2 linked regions of the Sus scrofa genome follow. The main gene of each other region encodes a partner of the protein of the gene in region 2 in a complex. Links are inferred from orthologs where the notes say so. Each region holds a gene or a part of one and is shown on either strand. Other genes may lie near its edges. The genes, in order: histone H2A.J and SCML2.

Region 1 (14,641 bases), on a different chromosome or scaffold from region 2:
CTGATACAGCTGCACCTTGGGGCTCTATGGACTATAAACTATTCCATACCCATGAGGTCATTCTGTGACCATGAAAAATCAAAACAAAAATACATCAGGAGGCAAAAACATGAGCATTGTCCAAACCACAAAAATGACCAAAGAGTCCCCTGTGCTGGTCAATATGCATTAGCATCTTCACCTGTTTCAGCTTTAGCCTCGCTTCCTTCCATGTACCCCATTAGACGTATTAAGCTACCAAGTCAAAAACTTAACTCTATTCCCAACAGCACGCAATCCTAGGCCAAGCTTCAAATCTATAATAAATCCTAATACTTTGAGTGAGATACCTCATACCTTCCCATTATGTGTGTTCCTTGCTACAAAGAGCAATAAAACCCAGCTTACTTAATAACAGGTATGTTCCTAATGGTCTTTGGCTAGAAAGCCAGGACGAAAATGCAGATTCAGCTAAAGTGCTCATTAAGTGGACTAGGACTCTCAAATGCGAACATCTGGGAGCCCTTGTGATTCCCTCTGGATGAGATGCCACCTGCTCAGGGCTAGGGAGTGAAGTTCACATGGAATTGAGTTCCTACATTTTGTTGTAGCACTTCAATGTTGTGTTTGTTTCCCTGGAGATAAGATCTCTTAGATTTTTATTTTTTACTTTAGTATTCTTCAGTAAAATTGTTTTTGTTCTTCCATTCCCAGCTTGCACTGCTTGTTAGCTTGCTTGATACTCAGAGTCATGTATAAGAGGCCAAGTCCACAGGGAGAGGATAGACAGAGGCTGGATAAGTCTGTTTTGGGGAGCTAAGTCTGAGGAGGTCATAGGTCTCTTCAGACCGGTGACCTTAGGACCAACTTGCTTTGGGGCATGGTTTCTAAATCTAATGAAGATTTCTTCACTCTTGTCCTTGTGTCTGAGAATTGGTCCATTTGGTTTTGTCCGCCTGGACCCATAATTGGTGATGACTGGCTATTGGCCAAGTCCTGAGGATCAAAAATTACACATCTTTACAAACCATTGTATTTCTCCTAGTCCTCACAATCTAGAACCTCACCTCTTCCAGGCCACGCACGTGCTTCTTTCATGTCTTTTCACTGTAACAGTAGTTTGTACACCAGCCTCACGAATAGACTCAATTTCATTAGTGATATTTTGGAGCTACTGTGGCCATTTGGGCTTTTAACATGAACAAGATAGCTCATTTGAGAAGTACTTTAAAACAGAAAGTAAACAAATCTTCATGAGCAGTTTGCTTGTCTAGTCTGTCTAAAAGAAAGACAATTTTGCTTAACATAGGCCTTATCCTTCCTTTGTTTCCATAATTTGGAGTTAAGTAGTGCTGGCTTTTTAATTGCATGGCTTGATAAAATTATCAAAGACCCCAGTTGCTATCCTAATGTGCTGTCATTCTTTTTGGGTGTAGATATAGGTTAAAATGTGTTTTTCAACACCGAAACTTTCTTTCCTCTCCTTGTAGAGAAAACAAAATAAAGCTTTACAGTAATAATTTCATGTCTGCCCGAAGCCCGGTGGCTTCCTTTCTTTCTTTCTTTCTTTCTGTTACTTTTGACCTCCATTTCTCTCTAAACATTGAAACATTAGCTAATTAACTTGTCAGGGTCAAATATCTTGTGCTAAATCATTCTAAAATAATGATATTGGCTTTATGAATTAGTAAGTTACCCCTATTTCTATAACTTCTTTAAAATTAAAACTTAAAATGAAAAAGCTGATTAAAATTAAAATACGTAAAAAGATTTATTCAAATAGATGGAATGATAACTACATTTTTTTCTTTTTTTTTTTTTTTTTAGGGCCACACCCAGGGTATATGGAAGTTCCCAGGACAAGGACTGAATCTGATCCACAACCAGGCTGTTGGATACTTTAACCCACTGCACTGGGCCGGAGATCAAACCCGAGCCTCCACAGCAGCCTGAGCCACAGCAGTCAGATTCTTAACCCACTGCACCACAGCAGGAACTCCAAAAGATATATTCTTAAATGTTACTTTACCAATATTCTTCTTGGCTTTTTTTTTTTTTTTAAGTGTTTTTTGCTGTCACTGTGTATACCTCGAATTTCTATTTGTGCAATGTGAAAAGGCATCTCCATTCCAGGGCACTGGTAGAGGGAGACTGCTTGCCAGTGGTTCCTGTGTGGGGAAATGGAATAACTTTTAAAGAACATTTTCTAAGGAGTTCCCACTGTGGCTCAGCAGGTTATGAACCCGACTAGTATCCATGAGGATGCAGGTTCAATCCCTGGCCCCGCTTAAGAGGGTTAAGGATCCAGCGTTGCTGTGAACTGTGGGGTAGGTCATAGACATGATTTGGATCCCTCGTTGCTGTGGCATAACCCAGCCTGGGAACTTCCATATGCCACAGGTGCAGCACTAAAAAGAAAAATATATACATATATATATATATATATATATATATATATATATTCTAGTTATATATCGAAGTAAATGCAAATCAGGAAGTGTCAGAGGGGCAGTGATCCAAATGTGAAAAGTCACTCTCTCCGAGTGTCCTTCAGGCCACATCCTCTCATTTCCTTTGTGACCCCTCTTCCTCTACAGTAGAAGAGTGCTCATAGGTCCCCACACGCCCTGTCAGCTGCGTGGACTCACACATATCTCTCTAGATCAATATTCCCTCTGGATGATTTTACCCACCCAGACCATTTTTGTCATGACTCCCAAATTCTGATCTCCAGGCCAGAGATTTTCCCCTGGATTCCCTCCCCTGGATCCTGCCACAGGTACTGCCTTTTGACCCTTGTGCTTCTGTGCAGGCATTTCTATGCCTAGGACATGGTCATGTAAGGCTAGCTCTGGCACTAGACCCATCATCTCAGATGCCACTCTCCCCACCAGGCCAAGGGACACAGGTGCCTCTTCCCTGTGACTCTGACATCCTAAACATCTTTCCCTTCTTGATACGGATCCTGCTAGATTATAATCATCTTTCTTATTATAATCACTTCTCTTGATAACTAGTTATCAATCATAGGCGTAACATGTAAATATATGCTCAATAAATTGCTGAACGAACAGGTTCCATTTTCAATCTGCATAGGTGCACTTAACAAGCTATTAGTTCCAAACTAGGTTGTCTGCAGGGAGAAAAATGCAAACTCAGGTTCATAAGCTTTCACTATTCATGACTCTTTTCTATTACAGAGTGAGTTGTGGATGTCCTATAATTAGTTAAACAGCCACTAAGCTTGGTTTTATGGTGTGTGATCAGAAAAGTCACAGAATTGCTAGAATACCAGATGTTTACCTATTCAATAGGTCCCATGATTATTGATACTTGCTCTAAATCCAATTTCACACATTAAGAGTTATTATTCATTGAGCACATTTTTATAGGGGAAACTCAGTGCCTTCATTCACATTATCTCATTGACTCTGTCCCAAACCCACTGAGGTATTTTGCCCAGTTAACAGATGGAACTGGGAGTTAAAGAGACTGAGTAACATTTCCAAAATCACCCAACTACTAAGGAGGTGAGCAGATTTGAACCTGGGTCTCATTCCAGAGAGTATGAGTTCTTAAACAGCAGGACCTACCTTTCAAGCATCAGAAAGAGTTTGCATATAGTAAGCCAGTCATCACCAACTATGGGGCCAGACTGAAACTTTTGATTCCAGGCAGACAAAACTAAACAGACCAGTTCTCAGGGCCACAAAGACAAGACTGGCCCTGCAGGAAAAACAAAGAACAAATCCTGGCCCAGTCACAGTCTGCCACACTGAATGGCTTATCTCTACAGGAAAGCACTTGTCTATACACCCAACTATGGATTAGAAATCTAAGACCTGAATTCAGGTCCCACCGATTTTTGTCCTCAGTCTTCTTCCATACCATCTTGTGTGTGAAAAACAAGCCTTTTACGTTAACAATCACATACTGGCAAGAACTGTTGGTGCATCAAAGATCAATAGGCTGAATTGCTTTGTCAAGGGGTATGCATTTTTAACTGCCAATATATTCAGGTTTAAAAACCCTTTAAAAAGAGAAAGGGTGAGGGACTCATTGCAGCAAGGGAAGCCTAAGCAACCTCTGGGACAGTGTTGGTCTAGGTAGATGAGGATGGAGGCAGCCACTGTACTTTGTGTCTTGCTTGTTTTTATCTTCAGGTAACAGAGTTAGACTCCTTTGAATGTTTACAGGGAAAAGAAAAAAGTGTTTTTTTCTTATAAACATCTTGATGGCCTTTGTCTTCATTTCTTTACTGCTTTGGTAATAATCTTTGAGAGGCCTCAAATATTTTAGGAAATTAAGACTTAAATGTCAAAACTGGTACCTGAAATATACTTTTAAAAAATTCCACTGCCAGAGTTCCCGTAGTGGCTCAGTGGTTAACGAATCCGACTAGGAACCATGAGGCTGCAGGTTCGATCCCTGACTTTGCTCAGTGGGTTAAAGACTGGCGTTGCCGCGAGCTGTGGTGTGGGTTGCAGAAGCAGCTCGGATCCCATGTTGCTGTGGCTCTGGTGTAGGCCAGTGGCCACAGCTCTGATTCGACCCCTAGCCTGGGAACCTCCACATGCTGCGGGAGCGGTCCTAGAAATGGCAAAAAGACCAAAAAAAAAAAAAAAAAAAGAAAGAAAGAAAGAAAAGAAAAGAAAAATTCCACTGCCTATCAGGCCTCCCAAGATGGTAACACTGAGAACTATCCCAAAAAATTGAGCATTAAAAATAAAAACAAAGGACTTCCCACTGTGACACAGTGGGATTGGTGGTTTTTCTGGAGCGCTGGGACTCAGGTTCAGTCCCCTGCCCTGGATGCACAGTGGATTAAGGATCCAGAGTAGGCTGCATCTGTGGCTTGGATTGATCCCTGGCCTAGGAACTCCTCCATATGCTATGGGGCAGCCAAAAAAAGAAAAATAGATAATAAAACCCAAAAAATCCTATTAGCTACAGTTACCTATAAGGGTATGCCCATATTGCTGTAGAAAACAGTACTTTCAATTTACTGAGCCCCCAACATCTGGACCGTAGTAATGAAAGAATCTCAGTCCTCAAAATGGATATTATTTTTAAATAATATTATTATATAATATTATAGATTATATATATATATATGATTTTAGATATGTTATAGATATTACTTTACATATGAGGAAGCCTTCTAGACAGAAGGTAAGGAGGAGAGTAAACAGCTGGATACCTTGGAAACTGCCCATGGTATATCCCCTTGGGGGACTATTCTCTTCAAGAACTGGGGAGTGATAATCTGCCTCCTAACAGGGGTATGTGTGGCCTGACCTTTGTATATACCTCAGTCATGACCACGTGGGAGAAGTGATCCCAGCATTTACTCCACAAGCAGCAGAGACACAAGTGCTAATGGAAGCTGAAGGGGAATCCTTTCTGATATTAACTTACTTGTTCATTGTCCTGTCTTCAGTTACCCAGAAAAAAACAAAAAAGTGAGCTTCAAGAATGGAAATCTAGTTGGGTCTCAGCCACAGCTAGACCACATTACTCATCACCTAGTACTGTGCTTGGCATATAGAGATGCTCAATAAATACTGGGGAAAAAATAAAATTCATATGGAAAATTGGCCAAACACTGCCAAGGATGAACACATACCCACTCTTTTGTTTCATTTGTTTTTTCAGGAAGACTTCAACTCTGACTCACAGGAAAGATGAATCCAAAGATGTGAAATCTGAACGGGGAACTTTTTTGTGGACCATGAGGGCAGGATGAATCTTGTAGAAAAGAGTGAAAAGGAAGGGTCAACCAAGAACTGAATGGGATTGCTAGTGTTTAACTTTTAAATGTAGATGGCTGATCTGAAATGTGTTTCCCTCCCTGCATCTGTATCACTTGTCCTTACCTTTGCGCACATCTCACATATTTACTAAAGCATGACTGTCATTAAGCAACACAATCCCTACAGGATTGGTTGGAATGGGGTCATTACTTCAGGCCAGTGGTAGATCATAAGGGATGTCCAGCGATCTGTCGTTACAAAGCAAAATCAAATCAATTACACTTCCAAAGAAATATAGTATGATGGAGAGAAGACCATTATGAAGCTGGAAACTTGAGAAAATCATTTTAAAAGCTCATAAACATATGTAACTCATGACTAAAGGCGCTGCACTGTTATGCAATGTGAGTGTCAGGGGAACACATTTCCAACCTCATGACTCATGCTTCTGTATTACACATATTATTGGATGTTTCCTTCATTTTCTAGAAATGTGAGCATAAGCGTGTACATCAAAATATCGGCTATTCGAAAGGCGAAAACACAACCATCAGGCTAAGAAGAATCTGTTGACACTGTGTCATTGGGACCACTCTTCGAAGACAGAAAGTTATTCTACCTTTTTAAAATAATGACCAGAGAGACAACTTCCTGCCCAAGGCCAGTTCGCTCGTTGTCACCGCTCCTTTTCCAGAACTGGTTCCTAAACTGCCCAAACAGGGCAGGAGAGCAAAAGCCTTGGCAAGGGGGCCTAAAAATTCCCCAGCCGCAGCCGCACCTACTTTGCCTTCAAGCCAGCTGGGAGAGTTCCCAACTCTGCCCACCTCCTGGGCAGTGGGTCCCTTCTGATAGCCCTTATCCGCCCGTAGCGCCTGGAAGGTGACCTACGGACCAAAGCAGCCCAGTTAGTGGCTCAAGCCGACCCACAAGTACCTCCTCCAAAGGTCTCCCGGTTGCCCCGTGGGTCATCCGGCAGGCGCCCGCGACTACATATCTCTATCGACCAGAGGATTTTCACTGACTTTATTGGCCTCCGACCCCGGTGGGCCCTTTGCCGCCCACCTCCCCACTAGACCAAGCCGGCCCTCCATAACATTAAGCATATTCAAAAACACTGCGGGGCGGCTGTGGGAAGAGGCTTGGCTGGGGAAGCCAGCTTCCCTAGCAGAGTCAGGGTCACTTGCTCTTCGTCTTCTGACTCTCCGTCTTCTTGGGTAGCAGCACGGCCTGGATGTTGGGCAGGACGCCGCCCTGAGCGATGGTCACTTTCCCCAGCAGCTTGTTTAGCTCCTCGTCGTTGCGGATGGCGAGTTGCAGGTGGCGAGGGATTATCCTGGTCTTCTTGTTGTCCCGCGCGGCATTGCCAGCCAACTCCAGGATCTCCGCGGTCAGGTACTCCAACACCGCCGCCAGGTACACCGGCGCGCCGGCGCCCACTCTCTCCGCGTAGTTACCTTTGCGCAGCAGTCTGTGCACTCTGCCCACCGGGAACTGCAGGCCCGCGCGGGAGGAGCGGGACTTGGCCTTTGCTCGCACTTTGCCTCCCTGCTTTCCGCGACCGGACATGTTTACCTCTCACCAAAAACTCCAGCGAGGAGAAAAAAATCCAGCGGTCCGGTTTCTAGTAAGGAAATGCGACGTATCACACCGGAACTGCCTCTACCAACACTTTGCTGACGCTAGTCAGAGCCTTCCCATTGGGCGCCGCAACATCCTCAGTTTAGGTGACCAATGACAGGCAGGCTCCGCTCCCAATTAGCGCGCTCTGCTGGCAGAAGGACCGCCTTTTCCAGCTCTCTCCAATCAGATGAGCAAATCCCTAGTCCTCATTTACATAATCACCCACCTGAAAATCTGCACCCGACTGCTCAGCGTATAGGGTTTCCACTGAATTTGTTGTATCCTGAGGTTTCAGCGTCCCGGCTGGCTCCCAGGAAAAGAACGTCTTAAGAATTAGGGAGGCACAGTTTGAAACATGCAGACGGAGAGTTACTCCACCCACAAGTACGAGATGCTCAAGGGAGAAATTCTAGTAATTAAGGTCGCAGGGTATGCCCGAAAATTTTAACCGAATGTCATTATTAACACTATTTTTCTTTTTATTCTTGTAAGTAAGATAAATCTCTTAACTTGAAAAATATGCTAACCTTGATTTATTTCTTTCTATTTCTTTTTTGGCCCCCCATGGGTATATGGAATTCCCTGGCCAGGGATCAGATCCCAGCTACACGTGCCACCTAAGCGGCAGCTGCAACACCACCTGGATCCTTAACCCGCTGTGCGAGCTGGGGATCAAATCTACTACCCGATGCTCCCAGGACACCGGGAATCCCATTTTGCCACAGCAGGAACTCATAACCTTGATTTCTTAGTCTTAGTAAATACTTAAAAACAAAAAAACAGCACCTCAACCTATTTTACCATTACAAGAATCCTGACACTTCAAGACTTTTCTTCCCTCAAATCAGAGATTAAAATCATGTAGTACAATATAACCTTTGAGGATTTTTTTCCCCCAGATACCCAGTGTTCTGAGGGTTCTGTTAATCCCGTGTGTGTGTGTGCGTGTGTCTTTTTGCCTTTTCTACGGCTGCACCCGCGGGATATGGAGGTTCCAGGCTAGGGATCTAATCGGAGCTGTAGCTACTGGCCTACACCACAGCCACAGCAACGTGGGATCCGAGCCGCATCTGTGACCTTCACCACAGCTCACGGCAACGCCAGATCCTTAACCCACTGAGCAAGGCCAGGGATCGAACCCTCAGCCTCACGGTTCCTAGTCGGATTCGTTAACCACTGCACCACCACAGGAACTCGTGTTAATCCTTCTTTAACAACAATAACAGCACCTTTTGTGCTATGGAGATGGGTAAGGATAGGTAAATAATAAGCATTTAATTATATGTAAGTATTTACCCTAAAGCTTTGCTGCTGGAAAGGCTTATTTGTCAGGAGTAGGGACAGCGAGCACAATTTACTAAAGTATTTGTCGCTCGAGGTATTAAGTGCCTGGAAAATAGTTATGAATCATCCTTCAAATACTGATGCCTTTTATCTCAGTAAAATCTTTCGGAAGACTGCTGTCTCCTAGATTGTTTTCGTTTTTGCTCAGGGATTGTCTTAAAAGTATTGAGAGACTTCTGATTGGGGTTCTGCGGTATAAAGCATTACTTAAATCCACGATCATGGTATCCATTATTTTTTGAATTTTTAAGTGGGAGATTTGAGAAACTTGAATTTTAATAAGAACATTATAAAATACTTCCACTAATTATAGAAACAGTTATTCAGTTGAAAAGCAAAAAACTCACTTGGGGTGGAGGGGGCAGAAGAGGTAGTAAAATCTGCAAATTGCTTAGAAGAAGTTGCAAGGGGAAAGTCTGAGGGAGCAGGCACATAGGATGAGACCTGTTAGCTATTTTGAAGGAATATTAATTCTTTCTCCATGGGGCCACAAAAGAGAAAAAAAGAACCACTAAAAGATGTCCTCCTCCCCAACTAGTGACTTTAAAACATCCACAGGTGTAAAGCAAGAGATTTGAAATTTAACAAGAAATAAAGCATTCGTGGTTCTTATTGATTTTCACATTGATCTGGGAATGGTGTCATCAGAGAAGGCATTCCATTTGGAAAACTATAGAATTAGAATTCCTGCCCACCCACCAGAGACAGAGACAGAGACACCGGGGCGGGCAGGGTGGTGGAAAGAGGGAAGGGAAACCCAGCGTGCATTGGATCTGGCCTGTTATTCAAGCGCTGAGAAAAAGCAAGGTATATTCTATTGAGTCTCCTCATTTTCTTGACAAAAATAACAAAAAGCTTGCCCCAAAGAGCGAACAGAAAATTTGGCAGAGAAGGAATAAAAATCTCCCAGGGCCCATAACTCTTCCCACTTTCTTGAGGTTTTCAAACAGGTTCGCCATAAGGCTACACATGCTCTGGTCTACAACTTTAAACTGCTAGCTGCTGCTTTTGCATTTAGGCTATCCTGCTGTGAAGGACGTCTGGCCAGAGTAAAGGTGGTACAGGTCTAGCCAAGGGAGGCGCTATACGCCACCTGGAAGGTCTTAACGGATAACATCCAAGGCATTAATTACGAAGACAGCTATCCGCTGTCTGGCCCGTCCTGGTGGTGTCAAGGGCATCTCTGGGCTCATATGGAAAGAGAACCGGGGAGTGCTCGAAGCGTCCCTGAAGAACGTGATCCGCAATGCGGTGACTTAACACTGAGCCCTCAAACGGTTGCGGTGTATGCGCTAAAACGGCAGGGCCGCATACTGGTCGGCCTCGGCGTCTGCACGGTGCTTGAAGTTTATCTCCTCACTCCAAAAGGCCCGTTTTAGGGCCCCCCAAAGGTCAAAAAACTAGTTGATATTGCTTAAATTGTGTATGAACGCGCACATGTCCTTCAAGCGCCTTGTGGGTGGAAGCTGCTGCTCTGGCGGGTGACTTGGGGCTTGGGGAGGAGGGGAGGTGTTAGTAGGGCTCCGAGCAGAGAGCCCAGGGCCTGCGCTTAGAACATAGCCCAGGAAGTGCGACGCAGGGCAGTAGTGACCTTGCTCTTCTCTGTTTCAGACACCAGACTGCTGACTTACAGCTCTGGGAGAAGGAAGCATTTCTACCTGGCAAAACCTACGTCTTCACGGTGGACACTTCTAAGCCGCGGAGGATTCCCGCCCTGAGCAATTATAGAGTGGCTTGTATGTAAATAGGACGAGTGGACTTTTCGTCTCCGATTGGATAGAAGGCGTCAGAGGGGGCGGCTCTCGCTTGTGCGGCCCGTCCCGTCTCTGGGACCAGAGATGTTGAGATGTCCAATAGGAAAGCGTGAGATGCCGGCCTAGTTTGGCGCGCCGTGGTCCGGCCGGGTTTGAATTATTTTATTTTTTCGCTGACTTTTTGAGTTAGAGGTAACCGAGCTCAGACGCCAGATGCAGGGCGGCCGAGTGCGGGCGAAGTCCAAGGCCGGGCCTGAGCCCGCGGCCCCTGCGCTACCCGTGGGTCCGCTGCACAAAGGTAGCCGCGCCGAGCAGGTGAGCAACCCGACCGCGGAGCACCTGGCGGCGGTGCTCGAACCCCTGACGATGGGAATCCAGAAGTTAGCCGGCAGCGGGGCCGAGGCTCAGGGCAGCGTCCTGCCCAACATCCAGGCCCTGATGTTGTTGCTCTGGATAGAGAGTCATGTGACCTGGTCGTAGCCATGAGTTAAGCCTTGGCTTCCCAGTCAAGGCTCTTTTCAGAATTGCTGGAGGGGCTGTGGAAAGGAGAGGGGCGGCAAGTTGGGTCCCAAGCTGTTCGGTGAAAATGTGACGAGAGTTGTGTAGTCGTGGAGGCCCCCCCAGTGATCCTGCCCGGGAGACTGAGCAAAGGGCGGCGCATTTGTTTGCACTATTCCGGGGCGTCTCAGGGCCTGGAGACTGGGGGCCTCATCTGCGTGCGGGCCGGCAGGGTCCGCCAGCGGAGGGAGGCGGGAACCCAAGTCACTTCGAGGGTCCAGTCTCTCCTAACCTGTTTATATGACGAAGGGGCCTAGGACCCCAAAATGCAGTGCGGTCCCATTCACCTTAGCTATTCTCCCCCAATTCTGACTTGTCTAGACATGGTGAAATCACTTAGTTTCTTGGAGGTGGTTGTTTGAAGTGGCTCTGGGGTAGTTTCCCAATTTTGACAGTGATGTACGTGTGTCTCATTTTAAACGACATATATCTCAGATGTACGCTAGCCAAGGAAACATTTCTTGTATTTCCCTCAGCAGAGGCTCGCATCATACCATTTATTGAGTATCAGACACTTTGCAACACATTGGGTTCCATTATTCTCCAGCAGATTTATTATAGTTTATTATTAATTACCATTTTACAGATGAGGAAACTGATACAGGGATCTAGGGGTGGGTGACTGGGGAGAACTGGAGCCCAGATTTGAACCCAGCCCTATTGGACCCTACACCCTTTGACCTTAATCCTTGTGTGCACTGCCTCTGCCCCCATCTCTGTTTGCTCACGTTTCACTTCTAAGAGCTTTCTTCTCCTCCATACTCAAGTGTACCCCTGGTGCTGTTATTAATTAAATTTCTGGGGTAGTGAGATAATCTGAGAAGCTCAACTTTCATTAATGTAAGTGAGAAAAACAAAAAACAAAAAGTGGAGTTACTTAAAAAAAAGTAGCAGGAGTTCCTGTTGTGACTTAGTGGTTGACGAATCACACTAGGAACCATGAGGTTGCAGGTTTGATCCCTGGCCTAGCTCAGTGGGTTAAGGATCTGGTATTGCCATGAGCTGTGGTGTAGGTTGCAGACACTGCTTGGATCCCGAGTGGCTATGGCTCTGGTGTAGGCCGGCAGCTACAGCTCCGATTAGACCCCTAGCCTAGGAACCTCCATATGCCACGGGTGCAGCCCTAGAAAAGGCAAAAAATAAAAATAAAAATAAGTAAGAAGTAGCATAGTCTGGTACACTTCTGTGCTTTTGTATTTGTTAAGTGAATGAATGAGTGAATTTGAGTAGATAGATAATGTACTTTTTTTTTTTTTGGGTCTTTTTTTTTTGTCTTTTTGCCTTTTCTAGGGCCGCTCCCGTGGCATATGGAGATTCCCAGGCCAGGGGTCCAATTGGAGCCATAGCTGCTGGCCTACACCAGAGCCACAGCAACGCAGGATCCAAGCCGCGACTGCAACCTACACCACAGCTCACGGCAACGAGGGATCCTTAACCCACTGAGCAAGGCCAGGGATCGAACACGTAACCCCATGGTTCCTAGTCAGATTTGCTAACCACTGCGCCACGACGGGAACTCCAGATAATGTACTTATTAAGTCCCCAAATTAGCATGAATCAGATTACTGAAGATGCAGGTAGGAGTGCAGTGGAGCATGGAAGTAAGTATTCATATGATAATTCAAAATATCTATTCTTTAAGTATTTAAGTTACTTGGAATTGCTACTTTTATAAAATTGTTATATTTTTGATGGTGGCCTCATTTTTTTTTTTAACCTGTCAAGTAGAATTTTATTTTCCCATGTAGCATAGCTTTTTTGTTGTTCATGTTTTATGTACTTTATAAAATAGAACCAAGTTATGTGAACATGGGAAATTTGTTTTTGTCTCTATGAGTCCCATGGTCATATCTAGTCCTGAAGTAATCATTTTCCAAACTAAAACTAGGTCATGTGATTTGAGGACACCAAGATAATCTAAAATTAGAACTGACTGAGATTTTCAGATGTTGACTAATAAAATGCCTTTGCTACAAAGTTTGTTAAATAAGCAACTTAAAGCTCTTTTATAAGGCTTTTCTTGCACTGTGAATGAATGCTGTTGAAATGTCATCTCTTCTGAATTTGAACAAAAGAAACATTAAACTTCTTTTGCCATATCTTTGAAGATTCAGAGATAAATAAGACATCAAGACACTTCTCTTTTCCAAGTAAGGGGGGGGATGATATCTGTGTAGTTGTACACATGTGGTTTGCTCTAATAGAGTAGCATGAGTGAAATGGTGTTTATTGGTGTACAGAACAAATTATATGTCTTAGGGGTATTTTTAAAGGTCAGATGACATTTGTTCTGAGCTGAAGGCCCCCTGGAGAAAGGGAATGCCACACCAAGCTTAGGGGACACACAGCATGAACAAATACCAGAGTAGTTTCCACATGAAATGTAGTTGAGAAACTTTCCAGTGTTGGGTATTTAATAATTTGTTCTGTTGCCCAGGTACACAGTTGGATAAAAATTGAAACCCAGTCCAAAGAAGAAAGATGAGCAAAAGCCAGCAGAAAATCATAGCCAGTAAGCATAGGAAGAGATGTTCAGTTTGATGAATCATCAGGGAGTTGCAAATCAAGACCACAATGAAATTTTCACCCACTAGATTGGTAAAAATTTTCAAGTGGCAATACCAAGTGTTGTACCAAATCTCTTAATAATGCTAGAATTATAAAGTGATTCGGCTGTTTTTGAAAAAAAGGTCATTATCCTGTGAACTTGAAAACAGATTCACATTGATGCTGAACCAGCAGTTCGACTCCCAGATATTTATCTGAGGGAAATGATAGATAGCACTTATGTACAGGGCACGCCTTCACTAAAGTTCTTGGCAGCACTGCTCACAGTAGCAAAAACAAAGAAACCAAATACACATGGACAAGAAACTAGATGAATAAATTATGGTGGAATATAATTTGGCAGTCAGAATGAACTGAAAGACAATACGTTCATGGTGGTCTCCATCAAGTGTTTTGTTTTCCTGCGGACACACGTGAAGACTTGTTTCTCCATATATTTGGCAAATAGATATTTTGAACTGATATTTGGTTGAAGATCATCTGTGGGAGTCCTGAGGAACTAACTGAGCCTTAGTTAAGAAAATTAGCATTTGCTTCAGCTTTGGGCTGGATACTGCTGTCAACCCATGACCCCTTTCCCCCCCTGTGGGTGTCTCAGCTTGCTGAAAAGTCTCCTATGCTATTTCACTACCTTACAGGAGACCTAAGACTTAATCTCTGTTGCAACCTTGGAGCTCTCACCTTCAGTTGTTATTTCACTGTCCTTTTATCTTTTATTTTTATGTCAAGATTCTCCTTATTTTCTTGTGACCATTATAATGCAATGCTTGTGCTAGAAGGTTCATTCAGATTGCGTAATTTGCCAAACTGCTGGAAGTCGGTTTCACTAACTACAGCGTTTTATTTCATGTGTTTTCCCTGACTAGTCTGTGAATTCCTGAAAAGCAAGAATCTGATTGGTATCTGTACCCCTAGAACCTCTGACCTTGAGGTTTGTATACATATAGCACTTATTAATGTGCAAATTATCAATTTGATAATATGTTCACATATCTTACTGAAATGACAATGGGTTTTCCATATATTTCTATACTCTGAAAAGAGTTTATACCCTGACAGTTATCT
Region 2 (16,225 bases):
GCCACGGGAGCGGCCCAAGAAACAGCAAAAAGACCAAAAAAAAAATAAAAATAAAAAAATAGAAATAAATAAATAAATAAATAAACTGCAATTACTTAACAGTTGGAACCAAAACACGTGTTAAAACCAATATTCAAAAAAAGGGGGGGGGGAGACAGTCCCTACACAGAAAATAATCGAATAGCAAAAATATTTCATTATATCCCCTTAAGCAGAAGCAACAGTATAAGAAGTTACAAGGCTAAAAGCGGTTTACAAATATTTTTGCTGGTAGTTTTAAAGAAAAGATTGAAATTAGTAACAGAAGTTATACACATACATATAATTCACCAGAGACTATTAATGAAATAGCACAAGTAGAATTTTTTTCTTTTTCAGTCTATCTCATATAAAGACATTGTTTTCAAACTTGAAAAACAAACAAAATAGTTCTTCTTGGGGTTCCCACTGTGGCGCAATGGGTTAGGGATCTGGTGTTACTGCAATTGCAGCATAGATCAAAGCTGACAGTTGGGATTCATGCCCTGGCCAGGAACTTCTATATGCCACAGGTGTAGCCAAAAAAAAAAAAAAGGTTCTTCTTTATGGCCCAGTCAATAGGATGATGGTGAAGTCTGAGTTAACTGACTAATAAAGGTGATGAAACAACACCTTTAAGTTTCTCATTTTGACTTGAAGATAGTTTATTACTTTGATTTCAAGAAGTATTTCACATTGGGAGTTCCCGTCGTGGCGCAGTGGTTAACGAATCCGACTAGGAACCATGAGGTTGCGGGTTTGACCCCTGGCCTTGCTCCGTGGGTTAGGGATCCGGCGTTGCCTTGAGTTGTGGTGTAGGTTGCAGACGTGGCTTGGATCTCACATTGCTGTTGCTCTGGCGTAGGCCGGTGGCTATAGCTCCAATTCAACCCCTAGCCTGGGAACCTCCATATGCTGCAGGAGCGGCCCAAGAAATGGCAAAAAAAAAAAAAAAAAAAAAAAAAAAAAAAAAGAAGAAGAAGAAGTATTTCACATTTATACCTAAATGCAAAAACACTTATTGACTTAATTGAAATACATTATAGCTATACGTTTTCCTTTGACAAAGAGAAGCTGGCTCTTTTAACTAAAAATTTGCTCCTGGTAAGGTGATTATCTTAATACAGTTTTTAAAAAGTGTATACAGTTGGATGTGGAAGCCATGGATACAAAGGGCTACTGTACTGAGCCATTTATATAAAGGACTTGAGGCTTGGTACCCAAGGGGGTCCTAGAACATGGATGGGAACAACTGTTATATACACACTGCATAGCTATACGTAACCTGTTGAACTGGACATGATTCATCACTTTAAGACTTCACAAGCACCTAATCAATTTATTCAGTAACAAATTTCCCATTTTCTGACATACTTGTAAAAGTAATCAGAAAAAAACCTAAATTGTAATGCTGTAATTACACTTAAAAATAAAATCTCGGGGAGCTCCTGTCGTGGCACAGCGGAAACGAATCCGACTAGGAACCATGAGGTTGTGGGTTCAATCCCTGGCCTCGCTCAGTGGGTTCAGGATCTGGCATTGATGTGAGCTGTGGTGTAGGTCACAGATGCGGCTTGGATCCCGTGTTACTGTGGCTCTGGCGTAGGCCGGTGGCTACAGCTCTGATTAGACCCCTAGCCTGGGAACCTCCATATGCTGCAGATGAGGCCCTAAAAAAAAAAGACAAAAAGACAAAAATAATATAAATAAAATAAAATCTTGGGGAGTTCCTGTCATGGCTCAGCGGTTAACGAACCCAACTAGCATCCATGAGGAGGCAGGTTCAATCCCTGGCCTCATCCAGTGGATTAAGGACCCGGCACTGCTGTGAGCTGTGGTATAGGCCAGCTGCTACAGCTCCGACTAGATCCCTAGCCTGGGAACTTCCATATGCCTCGAGTGCAGCCCTCAAAAGACAAAAAAAAAAAAAAAATTAAATTAAATCTGAGTTGTGAATAATAGGATTTCCCATGTGGCTCACAGCATAAATACTCATTGTTGAATTGTGAATAATCAATATTAAGAATGAACAAACATTTTGTAAACAACAAGGTTGTATTACTATAACCAATCTCCTGGGATAGACCATGATGGAAAATAATATTTTTTAAAAATGCAGGAATTCCCGATGTGGCAAACGGGATCAATGCTCTGGAGTACTGGAACACAAGTGGAACTGGCCCAACACAGTGCATTAGGATCTGGCAGCCTAAGTCACAACCGCTGTTCAGGTCTGATCCCTTGCCCAGGAGCTCCAGGAATAAACTAATTAATTAAATTTAATTACATAAAAAAGATGTTATATATATGTATGACTCAGTCACTGTGCTGTAGAGCAGAAATTGGCACAACATTGTAAATCAACTATACTCTAATTTAAAAAAAAAAAAAGAATGAACATTTTAGAGTTCCCTGGTGACTCAGTGGGTTAGGGATCCAGTGGTGTCACTGCTGTGGCGTGGGTTTGATTCCTGGCCACAGAACCTCCCATGCGTCGGGAAGCCAAAAAAAAAAAAAAAAAAAAAAAAAAGAACTTTTTTTGTTTTGCTCTTTTAGGGCGTCCCGCAGCATATGGAAGTTATCAGGCTAGGGGTCAAATTGGAGCTACAGCTCCCAGCCTATGCCACAGCCACAGCAAGGTGGGATCCTGGCCTCGTCTGCAACCTACAGCACAGCTCGCAGCAATGCTGGATCCTTAACCCACTGAGTGAGGTCAGGGATTGAACCCACATCCTCATGGGTACTAGTTGGATTCACTTCTGCTGTGCCACAGCAGAAACTCCAGAATGAACACTTTTTAGTAGTGAGGATTTATCAAATCAAGCCTTCTGGAGGGGTAATTTTAATTATGCTTTAGTAAAGTCTCTATCTCCAACAAATTAGAAGTTAAATTTTTTTTTGCATCAGAGCAAACCCAAAAAAGGAAACAATGATTTTCAAAAATTTTTAATTTATCTAAAAAATTAGGAGTTCCCGTCGTGGCGCAGTGGTTAACGAATCCGACTAGGAACCATGAGGTTGCAGGTTCGGTCCCTGCCCTTGCTCAGTGGGTTAACGATCCGGCGGTGCCGTGAGCTGTGGTGTAGGTTGCAGACGCGGCTCGGATCCCGTGTTGCTATGGCTCTGGTGTAGGCCAGTGGCTACGGCTCCGATTCAACCCCTAGCCTGGGAACCTCCATATGCCGTGGGAGCGGCCCAAAGAAATAGCAAAAAGACAAAAAAAATAAAATAAAAAAAATAAAAAATTATAGTCACTGGAGTTCCTGTCATGGCTCAGCGGAAATGAACCTGACTAGCATCCATGAGGACGCAGGTTCGATCCCTGGCCTTGCTCAGAAGGTTAAGGATCCAGCACTGCCACGAGCTGTGGTGTGGGTCACAGACTCTGCTCAGATCTGGCGTTGCTGTGGCTGTGGTGTAGGCCGGCAGCTACAGCTCCAATTGGACCCCTAGCCTGGAACCTCCATATGCTGCAGGCGTAGCTCTAAAAAGATGGGGAAAAAAATTATAATCTCACGGTAAAATAATTAATCTCTTACAATCTTAAAACAATTTATATGAATGCTATGCATTTGGTTAAGAAGTACATCATATCAGAAAACAGATAAATGAAAGACAAGTCAAGGGTTACCAAAATCTCAGTTTATAGTTGTAAATTCCTAAGGTTTTTAAAGCACAGCCACAGGCTAATTGCCCAAAGACCTGCTGCCCACTGACATTTGCAGAGGACTGAAGTTAATAGCAGGGCATGTCAATTTACTACAGGCAGCTCTCAGTGCGACATTTTGACAAAAGAACTGGGTCAGGTTACAGCCTGTTCCTATTATCACAGCAGTCTAGATTTATGGTTTCTAACACTGGCCCTACAAGAAATAATGGAAATGATGACAACAACAATCCCTGCTAGACAACAGATTACAGAAAAGCATGCAATAAACTACAATCTGAAGTGACCAGAAAACTAAACATCCCTGACAATACTTCAAACATGAGGCAGGTGTCAGTAAATGACCCATTTAAACATTTCTATAACCTCTCAAAAATCTCGACACAAAAAAAATCTCAAATCAGACTTCCTAATCTAAAACCAAGCAATATGTAAATGTATTCAGCACTACTGAGTTCTAACTTAAATTCTTTTAATAACAGAGTTATCAAACTCTACTAAATTAATACTCCAAATAATACTGAAAATCTTCTAAAAGAAAAAAAAAAAGGCAGTTTCACAGCTAAGGGCACAAGTTTACAACTGTATTCAGAGGGGCAAGGACAAGAGAACTGAAGAAACACATGTGATTCACTCACTGCTTAATTTAAAACTAAAAGAAATTTGTGCTACAGGTACAGAGCTGTTTGTCTGGAATTCAGCACCAGTTAATCCTTATGAGAAACAGAAGCCAAGAAAAAATCAAATATGTATTCTAAAGACAAGAAGCAAACAGAAGGGTCCCACCAACTTTTCCCTGAGAACAGAAAGCATCCTCAAGATATGCCCCAGAATTGCAATGTATCTGTCCCTTCTGAAGTTTACAATGTAACCACAAAAGGTGGGCACTCTTTCCGCTCTTACAACAATTTGCTCCTATAAACGTAGGAAGGGGCAGAGCCACAGCCATAAACACAGGTCACAAGTAGTAAGTAGTCAAATGCTCTCTGTACCTTCCAATGTTTCCCAGCTCTTTACTCAAACAATGCTTATTCTTCTTTTTTTTTCTTTTTAACTTTTAGGTTAAACATGGAATTCATCTAGTCTAGGTGAGATGAATACGAAATTAAGTTGAAAAGCACCATCATATAAACTCTTATAGGAGCCTCAAATCCTTCACTGTTCACACAATAAGATATTCTCATTTCTTACGTTAAAACCTTTCCATCACATGACGCAAATGTGATAGTAAGAGAAAGGTTTAGGGATATACGCTTAGTAGAAATCACTCAGCATAAAAATCACTAGTATTATTATCTCTAAGGTGGCCACAGTTTACTTACATTAGACAATATAAAGACAAAATATGCAAAAAATGCCTTACTCATTAACACCAAACAACATATGCGTATTTCAAATCTTTTATGGTTTGTTTCTGAAGTTTTCTGAAATTATCCTACTTTTAGAATGGCCACCTCTGCTATCTCTTAAAAAATAAGATGGTATCACTACAGTAAAGGCATTTCTATGCTTAGAGTAACCAAAGCCCAAACTAGTTAGAGCCTGGAAAACTCACCACTAAATTATACCAACCTATTTCAAGCTGAGATAAACAGCAATGGTTTCTCTCATTTATTTCCCCAAGACAGAAAGATCATAACGATTAAGATCCCAAATCAAGGAAGAGGTTTTCTTTCAAAATGACCAACATTTGCCATTTTCAAAATTGCCATGCTTTTGGTTCCTGAAATCAACAAAATCACTTCAAATTAACAATATTCCTTAAATTCTTAAAGATACTTGCTCACTCCAAACTACAAAACACCTGAGCAATGCCAGACCAATATTCATACCATAGCCTCACAGCTCTAATGCTGATGGCTGGCAGAGCTGGCTTTGTTCATGTCATATATTCTAAAAAACCAGGAATATTACTATGAGGAGACAATGAGACTCTCAGGGAGGTAAGCTAATAAAGAAAATGACCTCAGATTTCCATTCACAATTGGAATGAGAGTAGAGCGGGCATAAAGGTGGAAAAAAAGCAGCAGACTAACCTGGCAAAAAAGAGCTAGAGGTGACTAATAACTCCCATAGCAGAGGATCCTTTGCGTCCTCCAGTGATCCAGTTACTAAAATTCCAACACTCATTTCTATTAGCCCAAACAAATACTCAAGTGAAGTTATCCTCCTCCATTCCTCTTTCCAACCTGCAAGAGCTTAAGCTAAAATTGAGATTAAGATCTTCCTTAAATGGAACAAAGGACTACATCATTTTCATTCAAAAAAATCTGGCAATTACTCAGCCTTTTCAAGACACTTTACTATCATCAATTATTTCTCAGTGAGGCAGTGCAGGATTACCCTGACTATTTCACTGATGCGGAAACAGACACCAACAGCAAAAGGAACAGGGGCAGGAAGAGGGGTGATAGGAAGCATCTGGGAGGAACAGGCAAGCAGCTAAAAAGGAACAAACCCACAAGAAAATGAGAGTTACATCTGGCTTATAGCTGACCATTATAAGCCTTATTTGTTATTTTTAAGTTCAGAGAGATTTCTGAAACATTTTTTAAAAAGAAAGCACTTGAAATGATCAATTAATAGCTAGTTATAACATGAACTACTCAGTCACAGAAGTTACTTAGCATTAAAAAACATCCACTCTCCAGAGCACAGACTGATTTCAATTTATACCAGTAATTATCCTTTTCCCCTCAAGCCTAACCAGCATGTTATCTGAGCCAAAAATAATCTCTCATAAAAACATATAGCTTTATATAATCATAACAAAAAACACACAAAGTTAATATCACACAAGTCACAAGTAATTCACAGTTACATCCAAGCTTTGTTTAGAGAATTATGACCAAAATTGACTCCCTGAATTTGTCACTGAAATAAAAGGACTACCTGTTCTACATTCATATAAATTTTCTTAGCTATAACCTTGAAATTTTCAGGAATAAACCACTGATGGGAAGTCTTAAAGTCCCAGAAACCAGCACAGATAGCAGTAGGTTCAACTGAACTTCCATGAGCACAGGTACTGAATAAAAATGTGTTGACTGAAGCATAAATCCAAAGGACCGACCAAGTGCCTCAGAAGAAAAACCACCTCTTTAAGAATGACTCCAAGGTTTTTTGTACACAGGACATCATTAACTTTAAAGCATCCTCACACATAAATAATGTAGTTCAGTTATATTAATCTTTTTCCCCCCAAACTATCAATTTCAAAAGAAATCAGGTTATCTCGGGGAAACAGGTATACACCCTTAGAAGCTTATAAGGTTACATAACATATATATGAAGTTTACTCAGATATGTCAAAGCCATTTTAAGTGGTGTTTCACTAATTTCTTGAAAAAATTCTTTCCGACTCTTTTGAAGAATATGGATAAAGAAAGAGCCAAACACAAGGCATCGAGGGCTCATCTCCTTTTTCAAAATCCCCATTGCACTCATTTCCAAAAGCTGTTTTCACATTGCTCATATTAAATATACAAACCCACAAACATGGTGAAAGAACATTCATCCCTGGAAATACATTATTTAATGAATAATTAGAAAAACGAATGTCAAGAGCAGCAAAACTGTCATTATTGAAGAACATTCTCAAGTACCATTATTGAAAAAAAAAAACTAAGTATCAGTCTATGAACTATTGTTATAATTAAACTGCTTGTCACAGGAAGTTGTACTCCATAAATATAATACATCTTATAACACTCTTACCCCCAAACAGAAATATGAATAGCTCTGTGAGCACTAAAAATGCAGCAGCATCTGCAGTTATTTTCAAAAAGATAACCATATCCAATAATTTCGTAAATCATATGATCATAAGTAAATACTCACTTTCGCTGCCTCAGTTTCCCCCTACTAACAAATCCAAACACTTTTAGAGAAGTCTGTCCTAAAGTCACCCTTACAGGTAAGTCATAAATGCTAATCTTCTAATTCTTCAAAGTAGAAGCCAGTTCCAAACTGTAATCACACTTTATAATCAATGACATGTGCATTACAACCTTTAAAAAAAAAAAAAACCAACAATCTTAAACGGGAACTTGTAACTAATTACCTGTGCTGCCCCAACACTGGGGGCGGGGGTGGGGCGGCGCGAATTTCAGCTCAGCCCTCAAAGCTACGTATCATCTCAACGCGCAAAATCTATTCAATTCGCTTACTCGTTCTCCCCCTGGCGATTCACACTAGGATGTAGCACAACCACTATCCAGGTAGAAAAAGCGAGAACGCTATCTCGAAATAAAGGGAGGAGAGGTCTTGGGACCCAGTCCTGCCCGGAGAGCACCCCGGCCGCCTCGCCGCTCCCGGGGAGAGCTGGAGCCCCGCTCTCCGGCCCCAATCCCCAGGACCTGCCGCCGCCCCCCGCCCCCGCGCGCCGCTTCACCCCCCGAGGGCGAGCCACCGGCGCTGCCCCCTGCCCAACCGCCTAGAGCCCCGGGGCGCGAGTCCGACAAACACCTGGCACCCGGAGCCGAGCTCGAGCTCAGCCAGAAGCGCATCCTTCTAGACTGACGTTTCCCTCCCAAACTCCAAAAGTTACCTCACAAGTCCCCGGAAGGCTGCCGGGCGAATTTCAGCCCAAACCAGGCAAAGTCATCCCTACTCAGCCCCGCCGCCCACCCGCGCTGTCCCCACGGCCGGAGGATGCTCCGGAGGGTACTGTCTGCGCTTCACGCCAGGGGATGGTTAGAGGAGAGTGGCTCGGCGCCCGAACGTCGCCGGCGGGATGGGCCGGTGCCCAGCGACCGGGCCTGGGGCGAGTGTGAGGGGCGTCGCGAGAGCGGCTGAGGGGCGTCGCGAAGAGCACTACGTGGGGCAGGGGAACCCCGGCCTCGGGGGTGAGGCCGCCGAGGGGCAAGGGAGCCCTGGCCTCGGGGGTGAGGCCGCCGGGAGTGGGTGACCAGAGTGCGCGGCCGAGCTGGGGCCGGACCCCGCGGGACGGTGAGGGGGCGTTCCTCGCGCGGGACTGGCCACCGAGGACTCCCGCCCGCCCGCGGACAACGGCCAGAGCCGGGACGCCACAGCCCCGCCGCTCTGGTCTTCACGGGGCCCGGAGTCGCCACGCACCTCGAGTCTCTTCAGCGAAAAGAGCGAAATTCTGTTACACTGGTCCCGCGAGCCGGTACCGATCTTCACACCGCCGCCGCCATGTTTGAGAAGCCGCGCGCGGAGCCGCGCATGCCCCGCAACCGCCACCGCCGCCCCGCCCCCGCCCCGCTGCCCGCGTGCCCTGCGGTTGCAGCCAGCGCGCCCTTTGACCGCAGCCGCGTGCGGGGCCCGAGCCCGCAGCCCAGCCGGAAGCCCGCGCGAGCTGTGGTGGGCGATGAGACTCCGCGAGCCCGGGAAAACCCTAGGGAGTTTTCCCTCATCCTCCCCCCGCCCCATCTGCCCTCCCGCCAAAAAAGAAAAAAAAAAAACCAGTCGCAGCCCATGCACCTAAGACCTTGGTGGGCCTTAACTGGAACCCCAGGGTCCGCTTCAAGTTTCATCCGAGGGGAGCTCGCTTCCCTTGGCCATCGCCTTCGATTCTAGACCACCGCCCATCCTGGCGCACCGAAAAGGCAGGCGCTTCCCTAGGAACTCAAGTTCGATGAGCAAGGAAAGAGCAGCTCGTTAGAGCAGCTTGAGCAAAGCCACTCCTTCGCGGGTTGCAGCACAGTTCTTGAAACAGCTTTTTTTTCTTTTCTTTTTTTTTTCCCCATGAGTTTTGCCACGCATTCTCCTACAGCTCCACATTCTGGATTTAGTACTTCCTCTAAACCCAGGCTTGAGCTAACGGGAACTAGCCTAAACCTGGAGAGTAAAATAATTTGCTCACAAGCTTGAGGGTGCTCGCGGTCGTCTGCGTTTTGGGGTCTCCTCCCACCCCCGCTCCGGACGAAGAGGTTGCGCAGGTGGAGGTCACTCCAGGGGGAAGAGGCGGGTGCAAAAATAGCTCCAAAATGAATCTCTCCGCACAAAACATAGCAAACAGAAAACTAGAGAAAAGCATCCCATTCCTTGTTGTCAGATTGGGTATAGGCAGATATGAAGCTTTTGTTTGAAAAATAATACGATGTGCTGTGTTAGCCAAAAGTAAACCAATGACAGGCCTTCTCTCTCTACAGCTCTTTTCAAAAGTTGGATGGAGGTTTTGCACCCGTGATCTGCTTAACTTAGTATATAGGGCATGAGTATTTTTTTTAACCATAATTCGGAAATTGGAGCCTAAAATTTAAAAGAAAAAGCACCGGCGGAATATATCCATTTTCCGCAAAGCAAAATGAAATTGTTTTCATACAACACAACTTTAGCAATGTTAAACAAGGGCCGAATTAAAGTATTTTTTATTCTGTTTAAGCACTAGTGAATCACACAAGATCAGATTGCTCTGATTGTTCTTGCATCATTTAAAAATGAATAAATAACTGTTAACTGACAATTCAAGAAAACTTGAAGGCAAAAATAGAAAAACTAGGCCATTGATATGCAAATATTAAAGCGAGATTTGGATCAGTTGTGTAATATATATCACATAGGGAATATTGAAATGGTCTAAGATGACGTTTCAAAAATGTCTTTAAAAGCCAGAAAGTTATCTTTAACAAAAAGAAACAGGTTTAATATTAGCAAACCCTTAGTATGGGATATGGCAGGACTGGGAGGTGAAACACAAATGTTGAATTACTGGCTATTGTCTTTCTAATCCTGATGCAATGGAAATATTTGAAACTCATCTCTACATTCTATGAAAGATTTAAGTTATTTATGCCTCTTTTACATATATGGAACCTTTATTAAATTGTAGACATACTGCTCTGATTGTAAATTGCCTGTCTCAGGGATGCCTCATTTACTTCCTATAATTCTTTACCATATTCCCCATGAAATTATATTATGAAATTTTTATTTCATAATATTTTACAATATTTCCCATGAAATTATTATACGAAATTATGTCATGGAAACTCTTTACCATAATTCCCATGAAATTCCTCAGTCTGGAAGTGATAGTGGCTTCACTGTGATAGCTTCTGGCAGGAGCTCCTCCTTCGAGACTGGTTCTCACTGGGTCTTCAGGAACCAGGAGGAGCAGGTACAGCTTCCAGCTTCCAGTTTTTACTAATCCCTGGGCAACCTCAGAATCCCTTATTAGTTCCCCTAAACCAACCCACACCTCTGTGAATAATTCGTTCAGTACTCTTCAAAAATCTTATATAACTGTATCTTCTATTCCTTCTGCTTGGACCATTATTGAAAGGGTCTTTTTCTCTTTATTTCAAGCCAAGCAATTAAGAGGTTAAGTGTTTCAAATATTTCTGTAACCCTTTGAGAATTTATAGATCTGAGGCACTGTGTCTATAGCACCTAAGGATTTCACAGTCTGTTATATGTAAACAAGTCACTATAATACTATGGATAAAATCAACTTAGAGGTATTTTCTTAGAGTGGAGGTTAAAGAAGACAATGTGTGAAAAGCCCCTAAATACCAACTGTTAACTGATAGTAAACACTCCATAATTACTAGTTTCCCAAAGGCTATTTCTTAAGAGGGTAAGAGAGGTAACATTTGAACTGAGAGGGGAAAAAATGCAGAGTTTGCCAAACAAACAAGAGCATATGTGCAAAGTAATGAAGAGTCATTGCATGGTCTTTGAATAGTGGAAGGTTCAAAAGGTTCATTGGGCTGAACAAAACAAGGAGTCAATTTAGAGGACTTGAGTGCCATGCTAAGGTGCTGGAACCTTATTCAGAGCATGATGGGGAGCTATTGAAGGTTATATAGCAGGGTAGTTCTAGAAAGAGAGTTGCAGATCCCTGGAACCCCTCTAGCTGCTGCTACAGCACCAAGGGCTCTGCTCCCCGATCCTAATAGAAGCCTGAACTCAGTGAGAGCAGTCAAGACAGGAGCATGCTGGCAGGAGGCCCCTGGTCGTCCAGTAGCAGCCCCGGAGAGCTTGGGCAGAGGCTGGCAATAGTCAAAGCAGTTAGACTTCGATGGTCACTGGGAGGGGGTTGAGGACCAGAGCATACAAGGGAGCTGGCTGGATCGACCACTTCACAAGGCCACCTGAACAAGTGTAGTCTCACCCTTTATGTTCTTTTTTCAATTGAGCTTTATTTATTTTTATTTATTTATGTACGTATGTATTTAGCCTTTTTTTTTAGGGTCGCACCCACGGCATTTGCAGGTTCCCAGGCTAGGGATCAATTTGGAGCTGTAGTTGCCAGCCTATGCCAGAGCCACAGCAACACCAGATCCAAGCCACATCTGTGGCCTACACCACAGCTCATGATAATACCAGATCCTTAATCCACTGAACAAGGCCAGGGATCAAAGCCACATCCTCGTGGTTACTAGCTGGGTTCATTACCGCTGAGCCACAATGGGAACTCCCTCAACTGGGCTTTTATTTACATGCAGTAAATCACGCATATCATAAATGTACAGCTCAGTCGTTTTGCATGTGTATGTGCTGATGTGCTCATGCAGGCATCCATGGATAGACATTTCCAACACCCCAGAAAATCTTATGACTCTCCCCGGTCAGGAATACACACTTCCCCACCTCCAAGTAGCCATTATTCTGACTTCTACCTTGTAGATCAGTTTTGCCTGTTCTTGGATATCTTATCAATGAGCTTATACAGCATGTCCCCTTTTATGCCTGGCTTTTTTCACTAAACATTTTGTCCCAAGATTCATCCCTATTGTTGAAGCATCACCCGCATTTTTAGCAAGCATTGCAGACAGCTGCGCTGTCCCCTTCTTTCCCACAAGCTGTTCTTTTTGAATAAAGCTACTGTAATTTGTTTTCCAATTGTTTTCTCTTTCTTTTTTCTTTTTTGGCCTCATCCCCCCCACAGCATATGGAAGTCCCCAGGCTAGGGATCCAGTCTGAGCCAGAGCTGCAATCTACACCACAGCTGTGGCAACGCTGAATCCTTAATCCACTGCATCAAGCCACACAGGAATCGATCCTGCACCTCCAGAGAGACAAGCTGGATCATTAACACACTACACCACAGTGGCAACTCCTCCAATTATTTTTTCCTCCTTCTTATGATGAATTCTCTTTAATAAAGGCAGTAGTTTGGCCTCCAATTATATTAAACCTTCATTCTCTTTTTAAAAACATTTGTGTATTTTTTTTTTTTTTTTTTTTGCCATATCTGCGGCATCTGGAAGTTCCTGGGTCAGGAATCAAACCATGCCACAGCAGTGACCAAAGCCTCATCAGTGACAACGCTGGATCCTTAACCCACTGAACTCCAGGGAACTCTATAAAACGTAGTTATCTTGATAATGAAAGCTTTGTTTTATTCAAAGTCAAGGGCGGGTTTCACTTTTATACCTGTGTGGGGTACTGTGTAGATGAACTATTGACCCTGCTTCCATTTGAGGTCATCTGTCTAAATACAGAGGTTCGAAGACAAGCATTTAGAGGCCCTTTGCATTCCATGTGTCCATAGCTTTGGGCAGTAGAGTTTTGTTTGCTATTTACTTCTGCCTTGCCAAAAACAAACAAGCAAAAAACAAAACATACAACCAAGAGAATTTGCTTGGAAAGATACAAAGGAAAACTAACAGAGGCAATAATGGAAAAGCAGGCAATGGTGTCTGACAAAAGGAAGAATAGAATTGGGAGAGTCTGGGTTCAAGAGAAGTGGGATGGTGGAGGACAGAGGGGTCATCTGCCTACCTGCAAAGGCCAAGGTGACTGGAAGCCTAAGAGACAGCACATATCATTTTTTCCCCCTGTGAAGCATGGAATGTCCTTTGTTCCTTGACTGGTTCAGTTCATTGCCATTTCTGTTCTTTTATGCATATGGCCGTCTGGGAATTTAACTCTTCCACTTTCCTGGGGCTCCCACCTCTAATTTCCCTTTCAGCCTCTGTCTTTCCTGGGCCAGCCTCCTGTCCAGCCCCAGCTTGATGAATGGCCCCTCTCACTTCCCATCCTGATAAGACTTTTACTCTATGTTACCATCCCTAGGTAAGTCCAGCTTGGATCTCACCAAACTAGGTCTCTGGAAGTCTTTTAGGTCATACCACTTAGAATTAATTTTTTGGAGTTCCCGTCGTGGTGCAGTGGTTAACGAATCCGACTAGGAACCATGAGGTTGTGGGTTCGGTCCCTGCCCTTGCTCAGTGGGTTAAGGATCCGGCATTGCTGTGAGCTGTGGTGTAGGTTGCGGACGAGGCTCGGATCCTGCGTTGCTGTGCCTCTGGCGTAGGCCGGTGGCTACAGCTCCGATTCAGCCCCTAGCCTGGGAACCTCCATATGCCGCGGGAGCGGCCCAAGAAATATCAACAACAACAGCAAAAGACAAAAAGACAAAAGACAAAAAAAAAAAAAAAAAAAAAAAAAAGAATTAATTTTTTTTCTCGTATGTGTACATGTTTAATTTTTTAAATATACAAAAGTAGAACAGTGTAATCGGCCCTATGCACCCATCGCTCAGCCCCAAAGATTATGGCCAATCATGCCTCATTCACACCCCTCTCCAATCTCCCCCATCCTCTATTATTTTGAAACAAAGCCTAGATAGACATCATATTATTTATCTTATAAACATTTTATTATGTATCTCTTAAAGATGACTCTTTTTAGAACATAACTGTATCAGTGTTCCATTGCTGCCATAATAAATTACCACAGGAGTCCCTGTTGTGGCTCAGTGGAAATGAATCTGACTAGTATCCATGAGGACGCAGGTTGATCCCTGGCCTCGCTCAGTGGATTAAGGCTCCAGCATTGCTGTGAGCTGCAGTGTAGGTCGCAGACGCGGCTCAGATCTGGCATTGCTGTGGCTGTGGTGTAGGCCAGAGGCTACAGCTTTGATTCGATCCCTAGCCTGGGAACCTCCATATGCCATGATTATGGCCCTAAAAAAGGCCAAAAAAAAAAATTACCGCAAATTTAGCCCCTTAAAACAACAGAAGTATATTATCTTACAGTTCTGGAGGTCTGAAGTTCAAAATGAGTAGGCAGGGCTGTGTTCTTTTTGGAGAATTTAGAGGATAATCAATTTCCTTGCCTTTTCCAGCCTCCAGACACCACCTGCATTCTTTGGTTTATAGCTGTTTCTTCCACCTTCAAAGCCAGCAGTATAACATCTTCAAATCTCTCTCTCTCTCTCTCTCTGACCTTTGTTTCCAGTGTCACATCTCTGACTCCGACTCTCCTGCCCTGCCTCTTTCCCTCGTAAGGACCCTGTGATTACATTGAGCATGCCAAATAATCCAATATAATTTCCCCATATATGATCATTAGCTTAATCACATCTGCAAAGTCCCTTTTGCCACACATTCACAGGTTCCAGGAATTAGGATGTGGACATCTTTGGGGAAAGACATTATCCTGTCTCTTTCAATAACACCATGCCCTAAGTAATTAGAAATTGTTTCTTAATATCCACTCTCTGTTCAAATTTCCAATTGTCTATAAAATATTTTTTTACAGCATAAAAAAAAGATACAGATAAGGTCCACAAGATTAGGCGATAAAACTTTGGCTTTGGAGCCTCTTTTAATCTATAGGTTTCTCCTCTATTGCTCTCTCTCTCTCTCTTTTTTCCTTGCGCTCTGTTAGTTGAAGAATCCTCATTTCCCACAGTCAGGATTTTGCTAATTGCATCCTCATGGTTTAATATGTTACTTTGTCCCCCTTCCTATAAATTGGTAATTTAGGGCTTGGTAAGATTCAAGTTCTTTTTTTTCCTGCAAGCCTTCTTCCTGTGTAGTAGGTTGTACGTTCTTCCATCAAGAGGCACACAGTACCTGGTTGTCTTTCATTTTATGATGTCAGCAGCTGCTGATGTGCAATGCTGAGATCCCTTAAGTCAGCAGTTCTCAAAGTGTGGTCCCCAGACCAGCAGCATTTGCCTTACCAGGGAACTTGTCAGAAATCCAAAGTCTCAGTTCTCATCCCAAACCCACTGAACCACAAACACTGAGGTGCGGTCCAGCAATCTGAGTTTTAACAAGTCCTCTAGGGGATTCTGACACAGGCTACATATTAGGAAACTCCACTGTTAGTTCATCAAGAATTGTCCAATGCAGATACTTAAGAATATTACCCTAAAATCTAGGCAAAGTAAGAAAAACCTTCCAAATCACGTGAGATTATGCTCACAAGAGGTAACTAGAGGAGCAAACATATTTTTTTTTTTTTTTTTTGGCTGCACCCACAGCATATGGAAGTTCCCAGGGCTGGGATCAAACCCCAGCCATAGCAGTGACTGGAGCCACTGCAGTGACACCACCAGATTTTCAATCTGCTGAGCCACCAGGGAACTCTGGAACAAGCATGTTTTTAAGTGAAGAATTGAGAAAGTGTAAATATGGAATCAACACAGCTTTGCTGAAAAACACACATCAGAAAAACCAAATTCATATAGTGAACACATTGGTGGTTGCCAGAGGCGGGAGGTGCTGGGGGTGGGAGAAATGGGTGAAGGTGATCTAAAGGTACAAATTTCCAATTATAAAATTAATAATAAGTCCTGTGGTGTAATATACAGCGTGGTGACTATAGTTAACAATA

The links.
Region 1: the proteins of SCML2 (region 2) and histone H2A.J are in contact, whole or in part, in a crystal structure (PDB 4EDU), measured with the Homo sapiens proteins. The link is inferred for Sus scrofa from reciprocal best matches to the Homo sapiens genes SCML2 and H2AJ. Residues at the interface, in NP_006080.1 of Homo sapiens: Asp182, Asn185, Tyr187, Leu188, Cys190, Phe206, Trp209, Phe213, Pro239, Pro240, Gly241; in NP_808760.1 of Homo sapiens: Leu35, Arg36, Lys37, Gly38.

Annotation. Positions count from the first base shown.
Region 1 is NC_010447.5:57,770,268-57,784,908, forward strand, and holds histone H2A.J, read right to left. Parts: upstream 7,407-14,641; 5' UTR 7,299-7,406; coding exon 6,909-7,298; 3' UTR 6,741-6,908; downstream 1-6,740. UniProt on the Homo sapiens protein: Core component of nucleosome. Nucleosomes wrap and compact DNA into chromatin, limiting DNA accessibility to the cellular machineries which require DNA as a template.
Region 2 is NC_010461.5:14,813,691-14,829,915, forward strand, and holds the start of SCML2 (sex comb on midleg-like protein 2), read right to left. Parts: upstream 9,327-16,225; 5' UTR 9,131-9,326; intron 8,895-9,130; exon of another isoform or gene 8,762-8,894; intron 1-8,761. UniProt on the Homo sapiens protein: Putative Polycomb group (PcG) protein. PcG proteins act by forming multiprotein complexes, which are required to maintain the transcriptionally repressive state of homeotic genes throughout development.